2 linked regions of the Ovis aries genome follow. The protein of the gene in region 1 purifies or fractionates together with the protein of each later gene. This does not show direct contact. Links are inferred from orthologs where the notes say so. Each region holds a gene or a part of one and is shown in the gene's direction. Other genes may lie near its edges. The genes, in order: RPS6KA1 and CSNK2B.

Region 1 (12,280 bases):
GCTGGAGAGAGAGGGGGCATCTGGGGAGCTATTCCAAATGAGCTGAGTGTGGGGCGGTTTGGGCCCCGGGGACCGGGCTTGGGAGGGAGGAGCCAGGAGGGCCTCTCCTGGGTGGAGGGGAGCGTGGGCCCGGGGCTCACGGTGGAGGCGGGGCCCTCACTCCCGGCGTGGCGGAGGCGGGGGTCCTCCCTGGGAATGCCGCGCCGCGGGGGCTGGGGCGGGGCTTCGCTGTCCCCGCCCCCTCGCGCAGGTAGCCAATGGGCGCGGCGGCGCCGGGTGACGGAGGGAGCCGAAGTGCTAGTGCCGCGGCGGCGGCGGCGGACGGCCCTGCCAGAGCAAGAGGGTCTCGGCGGGGAGGAAGGGGGCGCTGGGGCCGCTGAGCGTGGGACCTCAGAACCCAGGAGGCGGCGCGGCTCTGGCCGCCGGTGGAGCACGGGCGGCCCGGCGGCGGCGCGATGCCGCTCGCCCAGCTCAAGGAGCCCTGGCCGCTCATGGAGCTGGTGCCGCTGGACCCGGAGGTGAGTGAGCTGGGCGGGGGACGGGCGCCGGCGGCCGGCAAGCCCGAGTCCCCGCAGGGGCGGGGCGGCTCGCGGCGCCGCTGTAGCCTGGCGGGCGCCCGCGAGGGCGCGAGTGCCCTCCGGTCTCCAGCCTCGTCTCCGGCTCCACCCCCTAATGCCCCGTGTGTGTGTGCGCGAGGGACCTTTCTGCCAAGCCCCGAGGAAGCCCCTTACCCCGGAGAGCGAATCCTGTGCTGCGCTTAGATCTGACCCCCGCCTCACCCCACACACACCTGGGACCTGTACCCGGAGCCGTCGGAGGTTCCTTCATTAGGGCAGACGGACCTGGGCTGGGATGCCAGATGTCTTGGATTCCACGAGACGAGGGTCATGGGAGCCCCCTCCCCCGCGCCCCCTGCCAACTTCTTGATGTCTCACAGCGGCCCTACCCCAAGGGCTCCCGGCGTCTCCGCTGCTGACCTTAGAAGGATTTCCTTCTTGATCGTCGCAGTTGTGGAATTTGGGGTGACTCTGCCCGTCTGGGACTGAAACCCTTGGTTTTCTTTGCTCCAGGCTAGGGTCAGAGGACGCCTGTGTCACCTCTCCCAGGCTGGAGAGAAAAGAATGGGGAAAAGTCCTTAGACCTTTGAGAAAATTATTCCTGGAGATGAGGAGGTCCTTGGTTCCTGCCCCCTCCCATAGGAAGGGTTGGGCCTCTAGGGAATTTGGCCTTTGCCTGCCTAGCTTCTCCCAAAAGCAACTTTTGCCTCCTGAGGATACTGTGGTTTAGGCCCTAACCTTGCAGAAGGCCTGCTCTTCCTGTGCCCCCCAGGGTCAAGGTCAAGCCCTTGAACTGGCAGATGGAGAAAACTTTCCCCTCAGCCTCATTATGGGAAGGACAGTGGGTGATACTGCCTTTCCAGGGGTATGTGGGGATATGAGGGAGATGATGGAAACCTCAGAGAGCCTGAGACCCAAAGTGATTTTCTTCTGGCTGGGGCTTGGACCCCTCCCCACTTAGATCCCCTCCTCTGCCCTCTCTTACCTGGGGCAACCACCAAGTGCCTTGCCCCTCAGGGCTGCTGGTTGGGAGCTGAGTGAGGATCCTGGGTCCCCAGCACCCGGAGTGTGCTGCCCCTTTAAAGGGATGGTCACCGCTGACACTGGCTATTGGAGGGTGGGCGCGGCAAGATTAGGTAACCAACCTGAAGGCGCAATTTGGAGTAAATTGCTCTGGGATCCCTGCCATGGGGTTTTTACGGGCCCTGCACAGCTCAGAAGTTCTCCCGCTGACTCACCCTCCGAACTGAGGAACACGGCCCTCTGCAGCCCCTAGCCACGGGCTGCCCACCCTCTAGGACTGGGGCACAAGGGGTTGGGGGCGGCGCTCAGAGGTAAATTCCTTTGTCCTGGCACACACTTGAGACCTAGGCCTCCCTAGAGGAAGGTGGACTGGGAGAGGCCAGGGAGGGACTTACTGTGGGTTATACTAGTTGGGAAGGCAGACACCCAGAAATTCAATTCCCAGTCCAGGGCACTGCTTCCTGCTTCTCTTTGGGAAATCCTGAGGCAGGGACCAGGTTTAAACAGGAAACTCAATTCAGTTTTAGTCCTACTCCACCTGAACTTTGAGAGGAAAAAAAGGCAGGCTTATTTCCTTGGTTTAGGGGGGCTGTGATTTCTCCAGGAGCTTCACCTTGAATTTGCTGTGTGACCCTCAGTCAGTCCATAGCCTCTCTGGACCTCTGTTTCTCCACTGGCCAGGGCTGGGTTCTGGCCTCTGCTTTCTGGGCCTGAGAGGGTACGGAGGCCTAAGGAGTGCTGCCCATTTTCCTCCTCCCCACTCCATGGAAGTGCCAGGCGACTCGGTGTTATTGTTTGGGTAACAGGAGCCATGGGGCGGCCAGGGCGCGGGTTGGGTGCAGGTTCTTACTGGAGAACAGGGCCTTGCTGTTCTCAGCCCAGGTGACACGTAAGTGATACGGCACCCTGACCTGCAGGTACAGGCTCCTGGCCGGGAGGGAGGCAGGCCGAGGGGCTGGGCAGGGCATTTGGCAGAGGCCTGGGATCTGCCCTCCCTGTGAAGCTGCCGAGAATGGGCTGCTCAGAGGCAGGGCCTTGTCTGGGGTGTGGCCCAGGTGGAGCCACCCCACTGGAAGTGTGGGTGAGGATCCTGCCGGGGCCTTCCCCTGGCCCTGCTGGGCTCAGTAACCGTGGCCGCAGGCCCAGCCTTGCTGTGCAGAGCTTTGCTCTGTGCTGTCCACCGCACTCCACCAGGGTGGCCTTATTAAAGTCAAATAATTCTGCAAACAGCTTCTCAGGGTAGGGAGTATTACCTCTGTCATCATATGGAACAACTGAACTCAGAGGGACCTGGCCTGCGAATTAATGTCAGAGTCAGAATTAGAATCCAGATCTCTCGCTGTCTTCTACCTAGTAGGGGGGAGACTTAAAGACAGGCAAGAGCTGGGATCAAGCCGGCCAGGTGGAAGGTACTCCAGGAGAGGCTCCGGATGTTGGCACACTCTCCTGTCCAGCCTTGGCTGAGGGCTAGTAGTTCCCGCCAGCCCTGGCACCTGGCCCCCAGCTTCCAGCAGCGGGCAGAGTTGCCAGTGCTGGGCTCTGAACCCAACTCCTGGGGCTGCTTCCTGCCTATGGGGCACGTGCTGTCTTTGTCCATCTGCTGCCCAGCTTCTCCAGACACTGCCCCGGACGCTTTTTTTCCCAAGACAGAGTGGCTTGGGTGGGAAGGAAGGATGCTTATTGGAACCCATCTCTGACCTCTGGGGAGGGGGCGCAATGGCCTGGGGGCCCTCGGTCGCTGTGCCCATGAGTATTGCTCTCTGAGGAAGCGGGAGGAGAGAGTCTCCACCCTCTTAGGGGCCAGAAGGCCTTTCCTGTAGACTCATAGACGAGGTCTTCCATTCAGTATTCTGCAAGGTCAGTATCATTGTCCTCATTCATTCATTCAGCAAGTGTTTATTGAGCACTTACCATGCGGCAAGTACTTCTCCAACCAGCAGGGTGCCACTGTGAACAAGACAGACCTGCCCGCCTAGTACAGGTGAGGAGACCGAGGCTCGAGAAGTAATGTGACAGACACATTCAGAGCGAGTGGCTGGCAGAGCCGGCAGCAGGGGCTCTGTCTCTGTGGCTGCAGACCTGTGCTCTTTCCACCCTCTGTACAATAGTCAGTCCGGAAGGGCAGATGCGCCCTGTCTTCCCAGGACCCTGGCTTTCAAGGGGAAGGTCACCTGTGGTCCTCTCTGCACTCCTAGTGCTCTCGCTAGGGCCGCCCATTTCCCCCTAGAGACCTTGTGCATCAGCTCTTACAGGCCTGGGCGTTCCATGAGGATGGCACCCAAGCCAGACCCCGGGACTGGAGGCAGCCAGACAGGCTCCCTGAGTCCTCCAAGATACTGCCCTGTAAGCGCCCACCTCTGGGTTCACCCACCACCTCCTCCTGTCTCTCACTGGGGATTCACGTGACTCTGGGTCATAGCCCCATGTCTGTCACCTGCTAACAGAGAGGCCACAGTTAAGTCACTCAGCTCTTCTGAGCCTCATCTGAAAAATGGGAGGAATAGAACCTACTCTGGCCTCCTTGCTTGCTTTGCTGGTTTGAGGTTTCATTTGACAGGCTATGTGCCAGACCCTGAGCTGGGTGCCAAGGAGACAATACCGGACAAGCCGTGGCTCCTCCCTGAGTTAATCTGAGGTTTGCTCGGTGCTGTGAGGCCCAGAGGAGGGAGGAAAGGACTTAAGGCTGTATGGACAGAGGAGAAGACATTTAACCAGGTCCTCAAAGAAGACCAGGAGTGTGCTGGAGTGACTGGGCAGGAAAGACTTTCTTGGTAGAAGGAGCCACCGTGCGAATGCTTGGGGACAAGCTGGCCTGTTCAGGGTCTCAGCTTGTTCAGTTTAGCTCCAAAATCGGGATAGTAATAATGGTGATTGTTTGTGGACCAGTTATATGCAAGCTGTACTTTTTTTTTTTTTTTTATATTTATTTAGCTGTCCCAGGTCTTAGTTGTAGCACTTGGGATCTTTAGTTGTGGCATGTGGGATCTGACCAGGGATCCAACCTGGGCCCCCCTGCTTTGGGAGTGTAGAGTCTTGGCCCACTGGACCACCAGGGACGTCCCTGGATGTATCTATTTTATAGACACTATTTTGCTTGCTTCTTAAAGCTACCCAGTGAGGTACATTACTTTTATCCCCATTTCACAGATGAGGAAACTGAAGCTTTGAGAAATGCAGTAACCTCAGGGTTATGCAGGTGATAGAAACCAGAATTTGAACCCACAAGGTCAGATTCCAGAACCCACATTAATCACCTGTGGGAGCTGGAGATGACGGCTTTGAATGCCATACCAAGGAGCTGGGACTTTATCCCACAGGCAGTGGGAAGCCGTGGAAGAGTTTGAGGCCTGGCACCTAGAAAGTTCTCAGTAAGGAGTAAGTGAGTGACCAGGGGAGTCACTCAAATGTAATGGTTGCAGTTGAGTTTTAGGAAGGGTGAGGGCTTAGAATGGGGGAGGCTGGTGTGTAGGCCCTTGTTACCATCCAGAGTTATGTCAAGAGTCTGCAATGCTGGGTGAAGTGGAACTCCGTCTACGAAGGCCTCACGCCTCCTCCTCCCCTCAGGCCTGGTTCCACCCAGTCCTGCTCCCCAAGCTCCTGAGAGAGAACACGTATGGTGGAGCCTCAGAACGCTGGCCCCTGGGGAGGATTAGGGGCATTAAGGGGGTTCAAGGGGCAGGATGTCCAGGGACTGGCGGGGAGGGAGTGCTGCTCCAGGAGCAGGGAGATTATATAATGGGGAAAGCACAGCTGTGCCTGCTGCTGCCAACAAGACTGCAGCTGCCCTGTGGACTTGGCCCCTGGTCCAAAGTCCTGGGTCTTCCTGGTCTCTCCACACTCTTGCTGCACATGAGGGCTGGAGACCGCTCCGTTTAGCTTCCCAAGGCCCGGATGGGGTAGGTTACTCACTTCATATCACACAGGAAAGGGGTGGTATACCCAGGGTGGACAGCACCCAGCGGAGGGTGAAGTCTGGGGTCTGGAGGACTGTGCAGGGGTGAGCTGCCATGCCTGCATCTCTGTTGCCCTGGCTGGGCGCTGGGCTCCTCTTCCTCAGTCTCTTGAGCACCTCCTGGTGTCAGAGACCGGATTTTGAATCCCCGCTGAGCAGCATTGTGGCTTAGGTGCCGTCACTAGGCTTCTCTGCGCCTCAGTTTCTTTCTCTGCCAAATGGGACCCGGGCCTACCTCCCAGGTCAGGAGGGTTTAATGGTGCCACAGATGTGAGGTACCAAAGCCAGTGCCGGCGTGCAGCAGGGGCGCGGAAGAGAGCAGCTGTTAGCACCAAAAGCCTCATCTCTGCCTCCCAGGACTTCCCGTTTATTAGGAGGGGCTCCCAGGTAAAGAACCTGCCTGCCAATGCAGGAGACCTAAGAGACATGAGTTCAGTCCCTGGGTGGGAAGATTCCTGGAGAAGGGAATGGCAACCCACTCCAATACTCTTGTCTGGAGTAGCCTGGCAGGCTACAGTTCATGGGGTTGCGAAGAGTTGGACACAGTTGAAGTGACTTAGCACGCACGGCCCACGAGTCCGTAGTCCCTGCATTGTGATAAGTGGTAAAATGAAGGTTCATAGGGAGTAGCAGTGATTCTGCAAGGATGGAGAGGGGTCCCAGAGCAGGCAGGGCCAGAGCATTTCTGGGCTGGACACTCTCCCAGACTTTATGTCCTTCAGCCCTTGCATCAACTCTAGGAGGTGGATGTAAATACCCATGTTACGGATTGGGAAACTGAGGCCTCTTGAGTTGGTTAGTTGGCACACACCCACAGTCCTTTCCTTCTCACTGGGAGGAGATGGCATTTGAGCCGGACCTTCAAAGATGAGATGTTTTCTAGGCAGAGAACATGGGAGGGGTGCCCAAAGCGGGCTACCTGAGTTGGGGCGATTGCAGAAGGCTTGAGGCCTGTCCCCTCCCAGAACTCCCGCCCCCACCTCCAGGGCCCCTCTAGCCACTGGGAGCATCCAAGGGCTGGGGCGCCCCATAGGGTCTGTCTTTGCTTTGTGCCACTCTGGTAAGTTCTGACAGTGTTCCCCACTCTCTCCTCTCTTTTCCAGAATGGACAAGCCTCAGGGGAGGAAGCTGGGCTTCAGCCATCCAAGGTAAGGGCCAGGCCCTAGCACCGGAGCTAGGGATCGTCAGGGGTGGAGTGACTGTTTGCCTGGAGTGGACAAGGAAGGAGGCACTGACCTTGTCCCGCCCAGGTGTGAGGCCCCCTGGCCCAGCTCAGCCTTCCTTCTCTGAAAGTGAAAGTCACTCAGTCATATCCCACTCTTTGCAACCCCGTGGACTATACAGTCCATGGGATTCTCCAGGCCAGAATACTAGAGTGGGTAGCCGTTCCCTTCTCCAAGGGATCTCCCCAACCCAGGGATTGAACTGCGTGTTGAAGGTGGATTCTTTACCATCTGAGCCACCAGGGAAGCCCAAGTCCTTCTCTGGGCCCACCTAATGCTCGAGGCAGCCCCGTATGTCAGGATTACTTGCTTCAGCCTTCCGGTTCCTCAGGGGAGTGGACTATGGCCCAGACAGGGTCAGAAGCCAGGCTAGAACTCAGGTTTACCCGTCCCCCAGACCAGGACGCTTCCTCTGCTTATTTACTCGTGGTGGCTTGGCTGACTGTATTAAGAGGGTGAAGGGGTGATGGGAGAGGCTTAAGTCCACTGGGCCTGACGAGGGCATGGCACCTGGTGCTGGAGGGAGCCTGGTGGCCTCCAGTCACACCAGGGCCCAGTGCCTGGCGTGGGGCACACAGGCCGTTTCTCAGGCCCCCTCCCAGGCCGGCTCCCTCAGCTCTACGCTCTCTGCTCCCCTTGGGTCTATCCCTTCAGCCCCCAGGGCCTGTTGCTGGTTTTGTGTGTTGACAGCACTATGAGGCTGGGGGACAGTCTGGCCTGGGCTTTCTCATCGCCGTGCTGGGAATGGCCTCACCCAGTTCTCAAGGCGTTGTGAGGTCGCAGAGCTGCTGGCTGGGGAGGGGCTGTGGAAGCCACCAGGCAGGACAGGGCCTGAGTTCTGGCGGTAGAGCCTACCTGAGTTCTGGTCCTGCCTCCACCATCGCCATTTGACCTGAAGCTTCTCCCTTCTGAGTCTGGTTTCCTCAGCAGTAAAATGGGAATAATGGTACCTGCCTCCTACCTCTCAGGAGTGACGTGAAGAACAGATAGAAGAGCAGCTGCCTGGCACACAGTAGCTTTAGTCCTGGCAGCCTGAGTGCCTGGCCGTGTTGCTCAGCTCCATTGCCTGTTAGTGGCCGCGCCCTTCTGGCCTGGGTCTGCTTAGGTACCAGACCATAAGCCTGACCTTTGAGATAGACTGAGGGCTGGTCCTGATGTTTGTCTTGACTCAGCCTCCTAAGATAAGGGAGCCGAGTTTCCTGGGGTAGGGCAGGCCAACAGAAGTAGGCTCCCACCCCTCCTCTTTTTGTTACTATGGCAACCTTGGGTCACCAAAGGCCAGGCCGAGTCATGTGGACTGAGCCCCTTGACTTGTCTCAGCCCCATGTCTCAGCCTCCTGTGGGAGAATCTCTTCCCACCAAGTAGCTGCTCCTGGTTGCCTAGTAATGAAGGGACTGTAGGTCTCCAGTGAAGGTCCAGATGTTCAGATCTTGGGGCTGTAGTTCTAGGGGTTGCAAAGGTGCCTGCAGCTTTGAGGGAACTGGTGGTGAGTACAGCTTCTCACCTCAGAGCTAGAGGGGCTGGTTAAGAGAAGACAAGCACTTACCCAGGTGGACAAACTACTCTTGATCCCAAGTCTGTGATTCCTTCCTGCTTCTGGAGCAGATCCTGGGGTGGGAAGGGAGATGAAGCTGGACGTGGATGGGGCAGGGAGAGCCTTGAATGCTACGTTAAGGGAGAGAAAGTGCCATACCAGGAGCTTTGCATTTGGTTCTCATAACATCCCCAGAGGTAGAAACTGTTACTCTCCCCATTTTACAGATGAGAAAGTTGAGGCCCTAGGTCAGATCGCTAATGGGCAATGAAGTCAGGTCTTGCTTGACCACAGAACCCACATTCCTCCCAGCCCAGGAGACACACTGAGTGCTGAAGAGGAGGAGCACTGCGTCCCCGTGAGCACAGTTTCCGTCATTACTCGGCACCTGCTCGTTCACCTTCTCTGTTGCTGCAGAATCTTGTAGCATCCCCAGTGCCCACTTTTGGGCTCAACACACCAGGGGGCGCTCAGCCTGTGGTCAGAACCTCATCGCTTTGTGCAGTGGAAGGAGCTGGTTTATCTTTTGCATCATCACATGTTCATGGCACTGGGAATCCCAAAATGAAGTCAACACCCCACCCTCAGGGAGTTCTCAGCATTGGGGAAGGGTGGTGACAAGAAAGCTGTGTGGTGGGTGCAGTGATGGGGAGGAACAGGCTGTGGGCACATAGAACCTCCATTCAGTGCCAGGCCTGACAGTGGGCAGTGAAATATACCACCTTCCTACCTGCCTCTCTGGGGCATGATGAGATGAGCACGTCTCAGGGAACCCAGTAGCATCCACTCTCAAGGTTGAGGGTGGACCAGATGGACGGGCACTGCTGTGTGTGGCAGAAGAGGAAACGTGGGCTGTAGGGCACCAGGTCACCTTCCCCGCAGAGCTGGTGTTTGCCTGGGCCTCGAAAGCCGGGATTTGGGCAGCTGGAGAGAGAAGTGGGCCTTCCAGGGGGAGGAGAGGCCTGACTTGGAGGAGAGGCAGGCTCTCTGAGTTCAAAATTCTGCTCCTCTTTCTTATTTGCCAGCTGACCTTGGGCGAGTTGTTTTACCCCTCGGAGGCTCAGATGCCTCTTCTGTAAAAGGAGAATAGAGTCCACCCGTCAGGGCCACCCAGAAGGAGGGAACGTGATGTGCATAAATTGGAGCATCCAGCAGTGTTTGAGACATCATATTGGTGTTTAATGCTTGTTTATTTGATCCGTTTCAGGCAGAAGAAAGGATTGGGGTTTTAGCAGCTGTAGAGAGGACTGCAGTCTAGGATGAGAGCTCCCCGTGTGCACCTGGTCCTTCAGGCATGCTGGGGCTCCATTCACCCTCCCTCCCTTCCTGGAGGTGGACTGGGCACCCCAGGCCCCCTCCCTGGCTATCTCCGGAGCTGGACCCCTTGGAAGCGCCTGCAGGTCTATTTTGAGAGCTGAGCGTCTCTCCCCCTCCCCTCCTCTCTTCCTGTTTATGAAACCCTGATCCCTCCCGGATCCCTCATGCTCCCCTGGCTGGAGCTCAGGCAGGATGTGATTGTGGACTTCGGGGAGCCTTGGGAGTCTCAGGTGTTGGGGGGGAATTTCCCTGGGACTGGCCGGGGAAGGCTCCCTCACCCTCCACCCTCTCAACACCTGAGACCCATGGACTCTGTCCCTTCAGCCTGCCCAGAGGAGCCCCTGCCGCAGTAAGAAAGCCCTTGCTGTTCAGGGAGTTCTGTTTACCACATCCCTTTATCTTTGTGGCCCATTTTTGCTTCTCAAAACAACCTTTTGAGGGTGCGAACATTTTACAGAAGAAACTGAGGCTTAGATAGGGAGTGAGGGTTGCACGGGAGCAAATGAGTAGACGGTTCTTAACTTCCCACCCTGCCCTCCTGGCCTCTTTTCCGTGCTGGTCTTTCTCTATATGGAGTGTCTTTTTTCCTCCTCTCTGCTTGGCCAGCTCCTGTTCATCTTCAGGGTCCAGCTAGACTGTCGCATCTTCCCAGATCTTACCCCAGGCAGGTAGTGAGAACCTGTGGGCACCTCCAGCTCTTTGCCTGCGCTGTTGCACACCATGCTTCCGTGTCGTTATTGTGTGTTTCGGGGAGCTGCCTGAGGACAAGGCTGAAGACTTCCTTAACACGTGCGCCTCCTAGTGTCTGGCTACTGGTCTGGGGACACAGCCGGGGGCCCATAGCTGTGAGTAATGTCCAGAGAGGATGCAGGCTGGCAGCCTCGCAAGGAGGGTGATGATGAAATGCTTCGGCCTGTAGGCTTCGATTTTGTCCCGAGCTGTCCGCCTTTCTGGCCATGTGGCCTTGGGCAAGTCACTTTCTGTCTGAGTCTGGTTTCCTCCTCTCTGGAATGGGATGACAGCACTTCCCTTGGAGTAGGACACCCGAGCCTGGCAGAATGCACACCAATAAAAGCTGAAGGAAAGAATGGCTTCCTGCAATAAATACTCAGTTAAGAGGCACAATTCTCATTGTCACTGCATACCAGTCCTGGCCTCGGGCCCAAGGCCAGCTCGCCTATCAAGGAGGCCTGGGAACTGTGGACCCACTGCCGAGAGGCATGCCGGGAGAGGTGTCTGGGGATGTTTGCCCCATGAGAGGGGGCACCCCTGGGAGGCCCTGCAGATGCTGCCAGCTGGGGGCGGGGCTGTTGATGTCCGTTAGGGCCAGAGATCAGCAGGTGGGCTTGGGCTGCAGCTGCTGGAGGGAGGCCTGGGATGGGGACCCTACAGGCCAGGGATCAGGCAGGGAGTGTGGTAGCGGGGGCGGCGGGGAGCGGGGGGCGCGCTCTGGGCTTCTCTCCAGCTGCCTTGTGGGAGGAAGTAAATAAGAGGAAGTATCTATGGGGGGAATGGGGCCACGACCAGGGGGTGGGATCTGGTGCTGTCCTCCCCGCTGCTGCCACCGGCAGCTCCCAGGCCCTGCACACACCCCTCCAGTGCAGGCAGTTTGGAGACAGCTTCCTTCCTATTGCCCCTTCTTGTGCCCTGCCAGCCATGGGGAGCCTTCCTTTGCTTCTGAAGGATACAGGGGTAGTGAGGAGTCGGGGCAGGGGGCGTAGCTGGTACTGGACCCAGAGAGCTTTGGGGCTCTCAGGGCAACCCCAGACCCCAGGCCCTCCAGAAGAAGCTGGAGTACAGTGAGAGGCCTCAGTCTAAGGAAGCATCTTGCACAACAGCCAGCAGGCCTCCTCAGACTGTTGTCAGGGGCTCTGTGGGGACTGGAAGGGGAAGTTCTGTGTACGTGGGGGTGTGTTTCCACAGAAGGGATGTCTGTGGAAATGGTTTCCGATCAGCGGACTGCGTGCATCTGTGTGTGTCAGTTCCTGTGAGGGCACTGGGTGAGTGATGTGGTGAGGACATGTGGCAAAGGGCCGGGCCCGGCCTCCCCCTGCCTCATGGCTACCTGTGAGGTCCATGCCTTCTGCACTGTTCCCCCTCTCCCACCGCCCCCACCTCAGGGCCCTGGGCTGACCGGCTTCTTCAGGGCAGCGCTGAGTGCAGTCGCGCCTGCTCTGTGGGCTGCCATTTTGGGTGGGCCCAGTGACGGGAAGGTCACCACAGTGGGAGGAACGCCCATGCTCTGGGCCGGACTGTCAGAGATGGTGGCCCTGCAGCCTTTTGCCCCCCATTCTCTCCTGGAGGTGTTTGCAGGTAGAGGGTGTCCCCTGCGTCACTGCCGCCTCTCCTTGTGACTTCTGTCTGTGTCCCACTCTCCTTTCCTTAGGATCAGAGGAGATGAGGAGCGGGGTCTCTCTGGGTCCACCCTGGAGTCGTGGGCTTGGGGTCTACGGTGTCCCCTCCTCCGCAGGGGAGCCTTACCCATGTTCTGTCCCTCCTCCCAGCAGAGGGGGAAGTGAGAAGGAGTGGGTCAGGGACCCTGCCTTCTGGGCCAGGAAAGTTGCAAAAGCAGAAGTGAGGGGAGTAGCCAGGCTCTCTGGCCATAGGCGTGGGCCCCACCATGCAGACCCCAGCAGACTTCCCCAGGGCTGAGAGAGACTCACGCCCCTGCCC
Region 2 (12,278 bases), on another chromosome or scaffold:
CCTCTGGTCTCCCAGACTCTTGGGTGCTGGAAGCAGTCATCTCCCACTTGAGAGAATCCATTCTTTTGTACCCCAGTTGCTCAACTTGGGCCTCCCTGCTTGGTTCTGGAGCAGCCCCAGAGCTCCTCTGTGCACCTGAGTCCTGGGTCTTGGGAGACCCCAGATCTCCCATGGTTTCTGGGGCACTGTCCCAGTCACTCCCTGAATTCTCAGAGGAGCTGTCCATCCGTCTGGGTTCTGGGGTGGGCAGGTCAGGTCTTGTCGACTTCCGGCGGCCCCAGGGGCGAGGGAGCCAGCCACCAAGGCGTCGGAGGAACATGGCTGGGGTGTGCAATGAGCCCTCCAATTCTGGGGCTGCTTCCTGGCACGGCTTAGGTTCTTGGATGGAGGACTGAGGATTTCCTCAGAAACCAGAGTGTGTTTAGGCTCAGAAGAACAGGAATCTGCTTGGAGAGTCCTACTCTGAACTCAGAAGTGGCTCTCCTCTTCCCGGCATGGTCATGCAGCCTGAAGCGGCTTGTTTCCGTTTCAGTTTTAAGGTAAAGAGAGGCACATTCAAATCCATTCACCACCACCCCACTATGCACACACACAAGATTCCAAAAGTCTACGGATCTGACAAAGCCTGGGACACCGTCACAGTGTCCTCCCTGTCTTCCAGGTTTCCTTCCCAGCAGGCAGCACCCCAAGTTTCACTCACCAAGGCCACGCCCCAAGGTGCCCCAGAAACTGGGGAGGCGGTTCTCCATCCAAAAAGGAAGGAAGGAAGGAAGGTGGCCTCGGTTCCTAGATGCTCCCGACCGACCAGGAGAGTCCTAACTGCTGCCCTAAGGCAGCTCAGAAAGAAGTCTCCTGTTAAGTGAGTGGGGGGTGAGGTATCCGGCAAACTCCAGCCAGCAACGTTCCTGCTTTGATTCAGAGGGCTGTGATTCCTATAACGTGGCCCCACTGGCACCCCAGCCCGCAGCTGAGATTCAGTCTTCGCAAGGTCAGGCCGGAGATGTCTTGGGAGATCCCGGGAGCGAGGCAAAGCGCGCGCCTGCCTGGGGAGCCTGGCGTCCAGGCATCCAAGCGATGCAGCCCCTCCCGGGCCCAGCGTCGGGGCCTCGGCCTCGCGAAGCCGCCCGGAGCGCAGAGCCCGGAAGCAGCCGCACCGGGACTAGAGGACAGGCGGAGGCGGAGCCCCAGCTCGCGGGGCGGACCCTGTCGATCGACCGCCCCCCAACCCCCGCCCCCGGCCCGAGCTGCCTGTGCGCGCCATGAGAGCGCACCGGCCGTACCGAGGGGCGTACAGCCGAGGTCACAGGAGCCAAAAGCGTGAATATAAGCCCAGGCTCCATTTTCGTCGCCTAGAAACCCCCGGCCGCTGGTATCCCCTTAAGCTTGCCCGCCCCCTTTAGTTCCCTTGAGTTCTTCCCTGCATCCCGCTCCACTCTTCTAGTTCACGATTTCATGAAAGGCTTTTCCAGAAGAGAAAGCTGAGAGGAGGCTTGGGGCTTGAGTAGCCCTTCCTTGCTCCTCCATGCACAGATGTTTACCTCTTGGATTTGACAACAGTGGGCACTTCATATGCCTGGCACCTGGTATGAGGCAGGAGAAGCAGGAGAGGAAGTATGGGGAAGACAAGTGTAGACAAACAGGATGTGCTTCCTGCCCTTAGGAGTTTTCGGGTATCAAAATGAAGAACCTTGGCTTAAAGTGTAGCTTTGGGAGGCCAGAGTTCTGGTTCCAGCTCAGCTAACAGCCTACAAGCTACATCTTTGGTCTTCGTATCACACTGCCCTCTTCCTGCAAGACGCCACCCGTGATCATTTCTGAGCCTTTCCTGACTTCCCCATCACCATGCATTCTTTTTATCACATCGTGTCTCCTACAGGTGCGAGCAGCCTTAAGATTGGGCTTGTCTCATTCCCATTCATAGCACATAGTATACAAACTTGTGAAATCAGTGATTGAATTGGCTAGAGTGGACAGAGGGTGCTTTCTGTGGGAGGTCAAACTTGCATGAAAGTGTTAGTCGCTCAATCATGCCTGACTCTTGGCGACCCCATGAACGTAGCCCACCAGGCTTCTCTGTCCATGGGGTTCTCCAGGCTAGAACACTGGACTGGGTTGCCATTTCCTTCTTGCGGGGATCTTCCAACCCAGGGATCAAGCCTGGGTCTCCTGAATTGCTGGCAGACTCTTTACCATCTGAGCCACCAGGGAAGCTCTGCATAGACTTGCATAGAGATGGGTAATTCCTGGTTCAGGGGTTGAAAATAGATGGGGCACTAAGGGCAGTGGCTGGGGACTAGAAGTGAACCAGACTGGCAGAGGCAACCCTATCAGGCCACGTAGAGGAGCTGCCTCTTCTGGTTCTGGTAGAATTTCATGTGGTCCCGTCTCATTTGGCTTCCCTGCAACAGCTTCCAGAAGTGAATAAAACACCAAGACGGAGAAAAGCTTGATTTTATTTCTCAACTTTTGGCTTCTTTCTACTGAAGGCAGAGTCCACTAATCAAAACCAGAAGGTGTGGAACCTGGGCAGACATCAGGAAGTAGAAGCCCAAGTGTCTAAGTTCGGGGCCCAAGTTCAGACTTCAGCAACACACCAAGGTCAGAACTTGCCCAAGTCAGAACTCGAGGTTCATGTATGTCCGCAGATCCCGCTCCCAGGCCTTGTCCTTCTCTTCCTGCCTTTTCTCCTCCCTGCGGTTCAGTGTGGTCACCCTAGGGGCTCTCTCCCTCCCAGCCACTGCCCGTATATCCCGAGCTGGGAAATGTGTAACTCGGGGCTGAGGTGCTGGTCTGTAGCCTAACCCCTCCTGGTCCCTCTTGAGGACAGTGGGGATAGGGTTGGCACGGCCCTCACCCCGGGGTCCTAGCCCCATTCCAGGCTCCCAGCCCCCCCTCAGCAGCAGCTTGAAGCCTGGGCTGGAGGTAGAGACCCCAAGTGGTAGGATGGGGGGCCGGAGATCCCGGGACAGCGACAGCAGGTGAGCAGTGGATGTACAGTGGTTAGAGTCTTGAAAGTGGGCATCACAAGTCTCACAGTACTGGGGGGAGGGGGATCGGGACCTGGAGAGAAAAAAAGAGAAAGGTTAAGGGTAACACAAGGGTTTAGGCCTCAGAGGTGGGTGGCAGGGTGGGACAAGGTCCTTCCAGTATCTCTGCCAAGAAACAAATTGTCTTTCCTTCCCAGTTAGCAACAGTGGACCTGAAGGAATGGTTAAGGCCTCACAACGTTCTTGGGTGGGAAATAATAATTACTATAGTTAACATTTGTACAGTGCTTACTATGCTATTAAATACAAGCACTGTTCTAGTATTTTATGTATATTAACCCATTTAATTAACCCTAACAACCCTATAAGAAGTATAGTCTAATTTCTTAGATAGGAAAACTGAGCCACATGGACGCTAGGTTGCTTGCCCAAGAAGTACAATCAGGATTTAAACCCAGAGAGTGTGTACAACACAGAAATTTAGCAGATATTTTACAATGACTATAAACAGAATATCACTTTAAAAAATCCTGAATTGCTATATTGTACATATGTAATTTATATACTTGAATTATGCTTCAATAAAACAAAAATAGATTTAAAAGTTTAAACAATATTAAAAGATAAGGCTTCCCTCACCGGTTCTCTGGACTCCTTGTCTCTCCAGGGCTCTCTCTGACCATGCGGGCCACCTCAGGGAAACCTGCTTCTTCAGCCAACTGAGCAGCATCTCTGCCCCCCAGCTCACAGACCCCTACCCAGGCAGCCCCACGGCCCAGGAGATAGCGCACAGCTGCCCCCTGGCCTGCTCGGGCGGCACACATCAGAGGGGTCCACCAGAAAGCATCCCGAGCATTGATATTCCCTCCAGCTCCCCCTGCCTCACGGGGATCCAACAGCCTTTTTAGTTTTGCCAGGTCCCCCTCCTGGGCTGCCCTCAGTATCTGCTGGGTCGTCTTGTCCTTTGTGTCAAGGGATCTCCTTTGTCCATGTCCTCCTGCTGCTCCTGCTGCAGTCTCCCTCGTCATTCTTCTTTTCTTCCTCTTCCTGGCAGGCCCAGGCTGAGCTCTCTGGGTTTCAGGGGTGCTGCTCTCATCTTCAATTAAGGCTTCGTAAAAAGCCCGGGCTGCAGCCCCCTCCAGGATGGGCTCCAGCTCTTCAGGCTGTGATTGCAGCTGCCCATCTTTCCACAGATCACTGGAATCAGTGGCTGGGGTAAAGTTAATGAGGGAAGACCCAGACATGGCTTTTGGGAAATCTAGGAAAATGAGACTAGGAAGCCAAGCCCCTGGTGGTCCTGCAGCGACCAGAGCCAGTTCCAGACACCTAATGAGATAAACAAAAAGTATCCTTAGCGTCAAAAATCCCCTCCCAACCCAAAAGTGACCCCACAACCTGGGACCCTGTAGGGTCAGTAACAGACAATGCCCCTCAATAAAGGTAAGAAAGAAGTCTCCGTAAGACAGTTGCCCAGACCGTGCGCTCCGCCCCTACCTCCATCCGCACCAACAATACCAGCCTCTCTGAGACAACTTTATCACAGCGTAAAACATACCATTAAGAAAAACAATCAAATTGGCTCTTTAAATCTTCCTATTTCAGGGTAAGTTCTTCCCAAACAAAAACAAACGCGACACGTCTCCGGAAGCAGGAAGCAGCTTTCAGGAAGAGGTTCCAGTCTGTGTCGCTTTATAGCTTCCGTACTGCAAAATGGCGCTACTCTAAGCAAAGGAGTCGACAAATAATCACAGGGCACAAAGACGCATGCGTGGCCGGGGAAACAAAACAAAACAAAACAAAACACCTGAGGGTGCAGGCGCGCGCTAGCGCCGGGTTTTTCCCGCCCTGGAATGTTTCCATAGCAGAAGCACAACGCACCACGTGCCGGGGCAGCGCGAGGACTGAGAAAGATCCGTCGGTTGGGGTTCTGTTTTTACATAACGCCCCCACAATGCCCTTCGCCTCCTCCCTCAACGTGGCCCCCGCTCCGAGCTCATTTTCTGGACCTGGGAAATCACTCTCAGGGTTAAAAAAGGCTCTGAGGCGGAGAATGCCCAGAAACCCTGAAATGAAATAACGTCACGCAGCCCCTCACCATTACTCTGACCAGGGTTCGAAGGTCGCATTTAGCGCCCACAGCAGCCCCGTTCAAGCCCTAAGAGGAAATGGAGAAGTGCAAGGGGACAAGCAGCAGAATGGCTGGCACCACCTCAGGTTAGCCCACGGGGCCGTCCTGGTTCTCACACCGCTCAGCTCATCCCAGTACACCCTACCCAGGACCCTCAGCATGGAACCCGGCCTCACCTCCCGCCTCCGCTGCGCGAACCCCGGATGAAACAAGGGCCCCGTCGCGGGTCTCCTTGGCGGGCTGACTCCAAGGAGCAAGGCAATAAGGGCCAGGAGGGCTGGCTGGCTGGGGATGAGGTCAATGCCCCGGGCAGCAAAGTCTCGCCGAGGCCTGAGGCTCGCTGTTTGATGGGAGAAGCAAGAAGCAACCAGCCAGCCTAGTTCCTCTCCCGGCCCACCCCCTCCCCTCCATGGCCCTGCAGTCCCCGGAATCACACGACTATATTTCCCAGGCTACCTGGCCCAGAACGCGGTACTGAGTTTCCGCTTCCGGTGGCGGCTCGCAGTGCCCTGCTGCGCCCCGCCCCCAGCGTACCCCTCCCCCGGGGCCTCGTGACACCAGGGTCGTGCGCGGGTCATCCTGGGATTTGTAGTTCGCTTTTCCCTAGTTTCGTCAGTTTCTTCTTCCCAAGGACTCCATTTCCCGGCATGCACCGCGGCTCCTAACTCTAAGCACTTGCGCGTTGCCCTCTTCCCCACCCTCCCCAGTTTCCACTCCCCCCACCCCACTTCGCCTGCCGCGGTCGGGTCCGCGGCCTGCGTTGTAGCCGTCGTCGCGGTCTTTGGAAGCAGAAACTCCCCTTCCCCTCCCCGTCCCCCGGTCCCAGTCCCCGTCCAGTCGGTGAGTGTGGTGGTCGTCGCCGCGCCATGTCCCCTGTCCCTGGGCGCGGCACATGGGGTCTCCGCGTCTTGATGTGGGGGTGGGAAAGGAAATGACCCGGTCCGGCACCGAGGGTAGGAGAGGTGGCCCGAAGGGTGGAGGCGGGATGTCGGGACTTCTATGAAACGGACCTGACCACCACCTATAGGCCATGAGAAAAGGAGGGCCCAGCTCTTGCTTGGAAAGGATAAACTTCGGAACCCTTGAGAATGGGGCCAGAGACTTGCGGGGGTAGGGAGCTTGAGCCACGGCCCTACCGGAGTTGACACGGAGGAGAGAGGGGCCTGGCTTTCAGGAGCGTCAGGGATGGAGGTAGGACTAGTGGGGTCAAGACCTGTCGGTTTCTCACAGCTGGTGGACCCCGAAGAATTTCTCTATGTAATCTCAGTGAAAAGGGGCTGGAATGTAAATAAGAGGAGCTAGAGAGACGTGCTCCAGTCTCGGGTTCTTTAAGAAAAGGGTAGCCCCAAATTCTTCCATGGTTTGAGGGCAAAGTGTGGGAGGAGTGAGGATACCAGAGGTTGGGAGGGAGAGCTTAGGCTTATACTCTTCTGTCTCTAGCCGACGTGAAGATGAGCAGCTCAGAGGAGGTGTCCTGGATTTCTTGGTTCTGTGGGCTCCGTGGCAATGAATTCTTCTGTGAGGTGAGTTCTCCTCAACCCTACCATCCACCTCCACATGTAATCTGGCCACATAATCTCCTGCACATAAAGCTTCCACACACTTCTCTTACATACTTTAGTAAAAACTCTTGTCAAGGAGGAGTCTCCTTAGTAGCGCTCTCTAACTTGTGGTGAAGGGTCAAGACTGAGACCCCAAGTCAACCCTGCCACCCTCCAACAGCCTAATGTTGGACTTGTCAACCTGTGTTGTTTTTTTTTTTTTTTTTTTTTTTTACCAGGGAAGTACTGATAGTATGTATTTCTGGTAGCTATTAGGAGAATTAAAACACTTCACGTTAAAATGTTTTATAGCATGGCTGTGTGTTAACATAAGGGAGTGTAACTGACTTCAGAATCCAAGCTGTTCAGCCCCCACCTTCCTCAGAGAGCCAGCTGCCCCTCAGGAGAGGCCAAAACTGATTCCTAGAGCTAGGAACAGGAATCAGGACAGGGATCTTGAAAGGACTGCCTCTGTAAGGAGGGGATTGCTTATGTTTAGGAGAAAAAAGCCAGACCTCTTCTGGGTGGGCAGTATACACGAACTAGGGAGAGAGGTTCAAGTACTTCTGCTGAGTTGGGAGTGTGGAACAAAGGGAATGAAGCAGTTGTGTTGAAGATAAGGCACGAGTTAGAGCACCCTGCCCAGGTCAAAGCTGAGGATTCTGCTTTGGGTTTCCTTTTGACTTCACGTCCTGACAGGTGGATGAAGACTATATCCAGGACAAATTCAATCTCACTGGACTCAATGAACAGGTGCCTCACTATCGACAAGCTTTAGACATGATCTTGGACCTGGAGCCTGGTGAGACACCCTCAGGGTTGTTTTGTGTGTGTGCTGTTTTTTTCCTATTCACACCTTGTTTATCTGCTTCATGAATTTCTAAATTTCCTTTTGGTTCTCTAACCCTTTTAACCCCAAATCCTTTACTTCATTTTGATTCCATACCTCACTCTTGCCTAATTTTGTGACTTCTACACTTGTTCTCATACTCTGATCCTATAACTTAGCACTTATCGAAAATGCTAGTTTCTCCATGGGTGTTATCTTCTTCCTTGCCCCTTCCAGGTTAGAGTTCTATCTTCTGTGTTGACATCTTTGCATTTATTTATTAAAAAAGAGAAGGAAGCAGAGGCTGAGAGGGATGGAAAGAAACCCTTGGGTTGGTGGAAGGGGCAGAGGCCCAGGCTGTGGGTGGGGTGAGGCTCCAAGTTGGGTGCTGGGCTGAAGAGCCAGCAGCCCCTGGGAGTAGGCAGGGCACCTTAAAAAGTTGTAAGACAAGTGGTTGCATTTGGCTGGTGCCATGTTTCAGATGAGGAGCTGGAAGACAACCCCAACCAGAGTGACCTGATTGAGCAAGCAGCCGAAATGCTCTATGGATTGATCCACGCCCGCTATATCCTCACCAACCGTGGCATCGCCCAGATGGTGAGGCCTCTCTACTCCTACTCGGTTCCTTCAGAGGCAACAGGGAAGCAGAGTTTCCATCAGCAAGAAGTCACTCGTTTCAGCCTTGTCACGGAATCTAGCTGAGAAGAGGGGAAAGAACCCCAGAATCTGGGCCTAGGGGTTAAGACCTGATTGAGGGTTGAGGTGAAGGGAGTGTTTTGGGGGAGGGAGATGTGACCTAGAGCAGAAAGTTGTAGACTGCCTCTTCCTCAGGGAATAAGCAGTGAATGTCTGATGATCTTCAGACTGCCTGACTGGATGAAAGGAAGCAGGGGAGTCTGAAGGCCCATCTGAGCCAGAGAAGGGGCCTCTGGACATTAAGAGGCAGAAGGAGTTGGGGACACAGTGATGTGGATTGGGCTGAGGAGGGGGTTGCCTCTTTTCTTCATACCTACCCACCAACTCCTTCAATTTCATTCACATCAGTTGGAAAAGTACCAGCAGGGAGACTTTGGATACTGTCCCCGTGTGTACTGTGAGAACCAGCCAATGCTTCCCATCGGTGAGTGTTGGGAAAGGGAAAGGAGGGCCATGGCAGGCTGGGATGGAGTTGGGGCTCAGCAGGTTGGGGCCTGAGTCCAGGAGGGAGGTTGGGCAGGCTTGGGTAACCTGGCCTGCTGAGTCTGGCTGTCTCCCAGGCCTTTCAGACATCCCAGGTGAGGCCATGGTGAAGCTCTACTGCCCCAAGTGCATGGACGTGTACACACCCAAGTCATCGAGGCACCACCACACGGATGGCGCCTACTTCGGCACCGGTTTCCCTCACATGCTCTTCATGGTGCACCCCGAGTACCGGCCCAAGAGGCCCGCCAACCAGTTTGTGCCCAGGTGGGGAGCAGGGACAGAGTCACCAAGGGTCGAAAGAAGTGCCTTGGATCCCCCAGAAAGAAGGGAGGATGAGGCAGTAGCTAGCCTTGCTGCCATTTTGTGTGCTCAACTTTCGCTAGGAAATTCTCAGAGCCACGGTTGAAGTGTATGATCTTCCTGCAGTATCATTTTTGCTCTGGTGTAGAAAAAGAAAGTTCAGCTTTTATATTAAAACAAGTACTGCCATGTATATACTCATGTATATATGTACAGACACATATTTGTAGCTTTGAATTTGAGTTTTAATAGATATTTAAAATACATTTCCAAATATTCTTAAAGGGAGAAGTTGGGGAACCGCTGCCTTGAAGTACTGAGCAGGCCCATGAAGAAACTGGGGTAGGGGGGAATGCAGGCCACTGGCAGGCCAGGATGGGGCTCACTGTGCTTCCTCTCTCACCTCTGCCCCAACCCAGGCTTTACGGTTTCAAGATCCATCCAATGGCTTACCAGCTGCAGCTCCAAGCCGCCAGCAACTTCAAGAGCCCAGTGAAGACGATTCGCTGATTCCCCACCCCACCTGTCCCTCGGTCTTTGACACTTTCATTCCTTTGCTGCCACAATTTCAGGAACCCTCTATGGTTTTTAGTTTAAATTAAAGGAGTCATTATTGTGGTGGGAATATGAAATAAAGTGGAAGAAAAGGCCATGGGCTGATTGGCTGGTGTTTGGGGTTGGGGAAGCACGGGTAATGGTATGCTGGGCCCCAGGAGCCCTCCTGGCTCAGCCCACTCTCTTCAAGTGGAAAACCAGCACAGATTTGTACCCAGTAGATTTGGGTGATGTTTTTAGGACTGGGTGTAGGGATGTACGGAGATCACGAGGCAAAGACAGAAATCGGATTTCAAAGACTGGAGAAATATTTGCTCTTTTTGTGTTGCCTGCAGTTGGCTGTTTAGGGGATGTAATCAACATCACTTTGAGTTTTATAAAGAAAGTGGTCCCAAAATAAACTGAACTGTAAGGGGTGGGGAGAAGAGGTTCAAGGTCCAGAATTTGCTGTTTTGTGTCTATGTGCCCCCTCCTGGGGAAGCTGAGACATGCTCATCTCAGAAGGATGAAGGTCACTGGGTTCCTGGTTAAAGTTTCTCCCAGAACAATAGGGACTGGCCCTGTTGTGTAGGGAGGATGGCAGATGGTACCAGAGAATGAAACTAATCCATGGACCCTGGAGGGGCAGGAACAGATCTTTGAGGGACACTCAGGACAAAAGTAGACTGCTGGATTGGGGCCCAGATATTGCACCTGTCTGGGCTGCCGCTCCCACATTCAGGAACCAGACCAGGTGGGTGAGGACATGTTCTCCTGCCAAGCTAATTGCTTCCTGCCCCAGGGAGGAGTATAGCTTTGTACCTACAGCAGCTCCTGCCCAGACTACCTGTCAAAACCACCTTGCAGTTCAGGCTCGAGGAGTGTGGTCACGGGGTTTCTAGGCACCCCTCGGGGAATGCCCCTCTCCCCAGAAGTCCATGATGAAGGCCCACATGCTTATAGGTGCACTGGTCATGGTGGGCTTCACGGTGGGAAAGGGTAAGTGGAGCAGGGGCAGGGCAGGAGGGGTGGCTGAGTACAGGGAGAGGGTGGCGGTGGATGAGCGGGATGTTGCAAGGCAGGGAACTTGGAGTGGGCCAACACCACCATCCGTGTCTTCCGCTTCCCCAGCTCCTGTTTCTGAAGTCCGGACCTGCCACCTCTGCCTCTTAGAAAATCCTGCTGTAGGATGCATTTCAGGCTCAGAGAAGTGCACTATCAGCAGCTCATCCCCGTGCATGGTGATCAGCATCAACCATGGTGAGTTGAGTCAGGCAGGGAAGGGGCCACTGGCAGGACAGCCTATGGCATTGTCTCCTCTTGTAAATGAGGGCTGCTTGGGGCCTGAGGTCTAAGGAGATGGAGGTTTCTGGTAGGGGAGGGGTCTGGAGTTCTGGGGAGCCGATTAAGCTAATTTCTTCTGGCCTCTTCTGCAGGAGTCTGGAAAGGAAATTGGGTCTAGGTGAGGGATGGGCAGGTCTGTGAAAGGGGTACCAGTTCTGGTGACTGTGGGAGGCAACAAGGGTTATTAGTTGTCCCTTCTTCTCTAGAGAACAAAGCTCGCTTCTTAATCCGAGGCTGTGGACAACACAATTCCTACCGCTGCCAAGAAAACCTCCCCACCTACATCTCAGAGTACTGGTACTCGGCCCAGTGCTGCCAGTATGACTACTGCAACTCCTGGTACAGTCCCCAGCTCCAGAGTGCCTTGCCTGAGCCCCCTGACAGGTCCCTGGCTCTGCCCCTGTCTCAGTCCCAGATCCTGTGGTTCTACCAAACCCTGAACCTGTCACTGCCCCTGCCCAGCTTCCCTGCTGGGGAGGAGCCTTCTGAAGGCCTGGACCCCCTGGCTGGCCCACCCGTGAATCTGAGTTTGTCCATTGCTGACCTGCGCAGCATATACCTGTTCCTCAACAGTTCTGGACTTTTGACTCTTCCCTGGGCTGGTCCCTGACATCTTTCCCTGCGCAGATAGATTTCTGTCTGGTCTAGCGTCTCACTCCTGGCACCCCAGCATCATGCATTGTCTTCTCAGAACACTCCCACTCTTGGGTCTGTAAGTTCTCAGTCTTCCTTTCTTTTGCCTTTCCTTTGTCCTTCCGGTGTCCGTATGGTTTTGGTCTCGTCTCCTCCCCGAAAAAAGCAGTTGGCAGTGTACCCAGAGCCCTTCGACCACCTAGAATATAATCTCAAATGCGGATTCTGCCTAGGCTGACCTGGGTAAAGGCACAATGGTTTTCTCGACACTGTCCTGTTAACTGAATGTCCCATCACCCCCACCCCACCCCCCATCTTCCTGATCTCTCTCAGTCTGGCTGTTTCCACTCTGCTATACCTAGCTAGTTCAGTCTGTGCCAGACTGAACTTGCATCAGAAAGGGTGAGAGCTGGACTTCGTGCAGGTTTCCTGACTGAGCACTGTGGCGCCCCTCCTTCACTGTCTACCCGCCATGCTCCTGCCTGGTCAGCTGCCTGCTCTCATCTCTTTTCCCAGTCTCTGGCTTCCTCAGCTCCGCTTCACATCCCTGAGCCATGACACCCACTTGCACAGATTCCCAGGGAGAGGAGGGGGTCTGTCCCTTGTTCTGCACTCCCTAGTCCTCCTCCACAATAAACAAACTGCCCAGAGTCCTTGTCATGTTTTTGATGGGGGCAGGGTCAGGTGTGGTCAGGTGTAGACAAGTTAAAGGTAACTGGGCGTGGGGTTCAAACAGCATTGCAGAGCCCTGCCCACTACACTTGGCCTTGTGGCTTCCTCAATGGCCTGCCTCAAACAGC

The links.
Region 2: the proteins of RPS6KA1 (region 1) and CSNK2B purify together in Homo sapiens (affinity purification with mass spectrometry; 4 studies listed by BioGRID and IntAct, with this or other methods). This does not show direct contact. The link is inferred for Ovis aries from reciprocal best matches to the Homo sapiens genes RPS6KA1 and CSNK2B.

What each region holds. Positions count from the first base shown.
Region 1 is NC_056055.1:240,326,142-240,338,421, reverse strand, and holds the start of RPS6KA1 (ribosomal protein S6 kinase alpha-1), read left to right. Parts: upstream 1-5,245; 5' UTR 5,246-5,260; coding exon 5,261-5,476; intron 5,477-6,635; coding exon 6,636-6,680; intron 6,681-12,174; exon of another isoform or gene 12,175-12,227; coding exon of another isoform or gene 12,228-12,280. UniProt on the Homo sapiens protein: Serine/threonine-protein kinase that acts downstream of ERK (MAPK1/ERK2 and MAPK3/ERK1) signaling and mediates mitogenic and stress-induced activation of the transcription factors CREB1, ETV1/ER81 and NR4A1/NUR77, regulates translation through RPS6 and EIF4B phosphorylation, and mediates cellular proliferation, survival, and differentiation by modulating mTOR signaling and repressing pro-apoptotic function of BAD and DAPK1.
Region 2 is NC_056073.1:26,709,594-26,721,871, reverse strand, and holds CSNK2B (casein kinase II subunit beta), read left to right. Parts: upstream 1-5,830; 5' UTR 5,831-5,955; intron 5,956-6,555; 5' UTR 6,556-6,566; coding exon 6,567-6,638; exon of another isoform or gene 6,639-7,355; coding exon 7,356-7,458; exon of another isoform or gene 7,459-7,966; coding exon 7,967-8,082; exon of another isoform or gene 8,083-8,529; coding exon 8,530-8,605; exon of another isoform or gene 8,606-8,741; coding exon 8,742-8,931; exon of another isoform or gene 8,932-9,386; coding exon 9,387-9,477; 3' UTR 9,478-9,617; downstream 9,618-12,278. Other genes in the region: C20H6orf47 (uncharacterized protein C6orf47 homolog), read right to left, coding at 1-319; GPANK1 (G patch domain and ankyrin repeat-containing protein 1), read right to left, coding at 2,616-3,060, 3,627-4,231; LY6G5B (lymphocyte antigen 6 complex locus protein G5b), read left to right, coding at 10,440-10,500, 10,633-10,761, 11,052-11,455. UniProt on the Homo sapiens protein: Regulatory subunit of casein kinase II/CK2.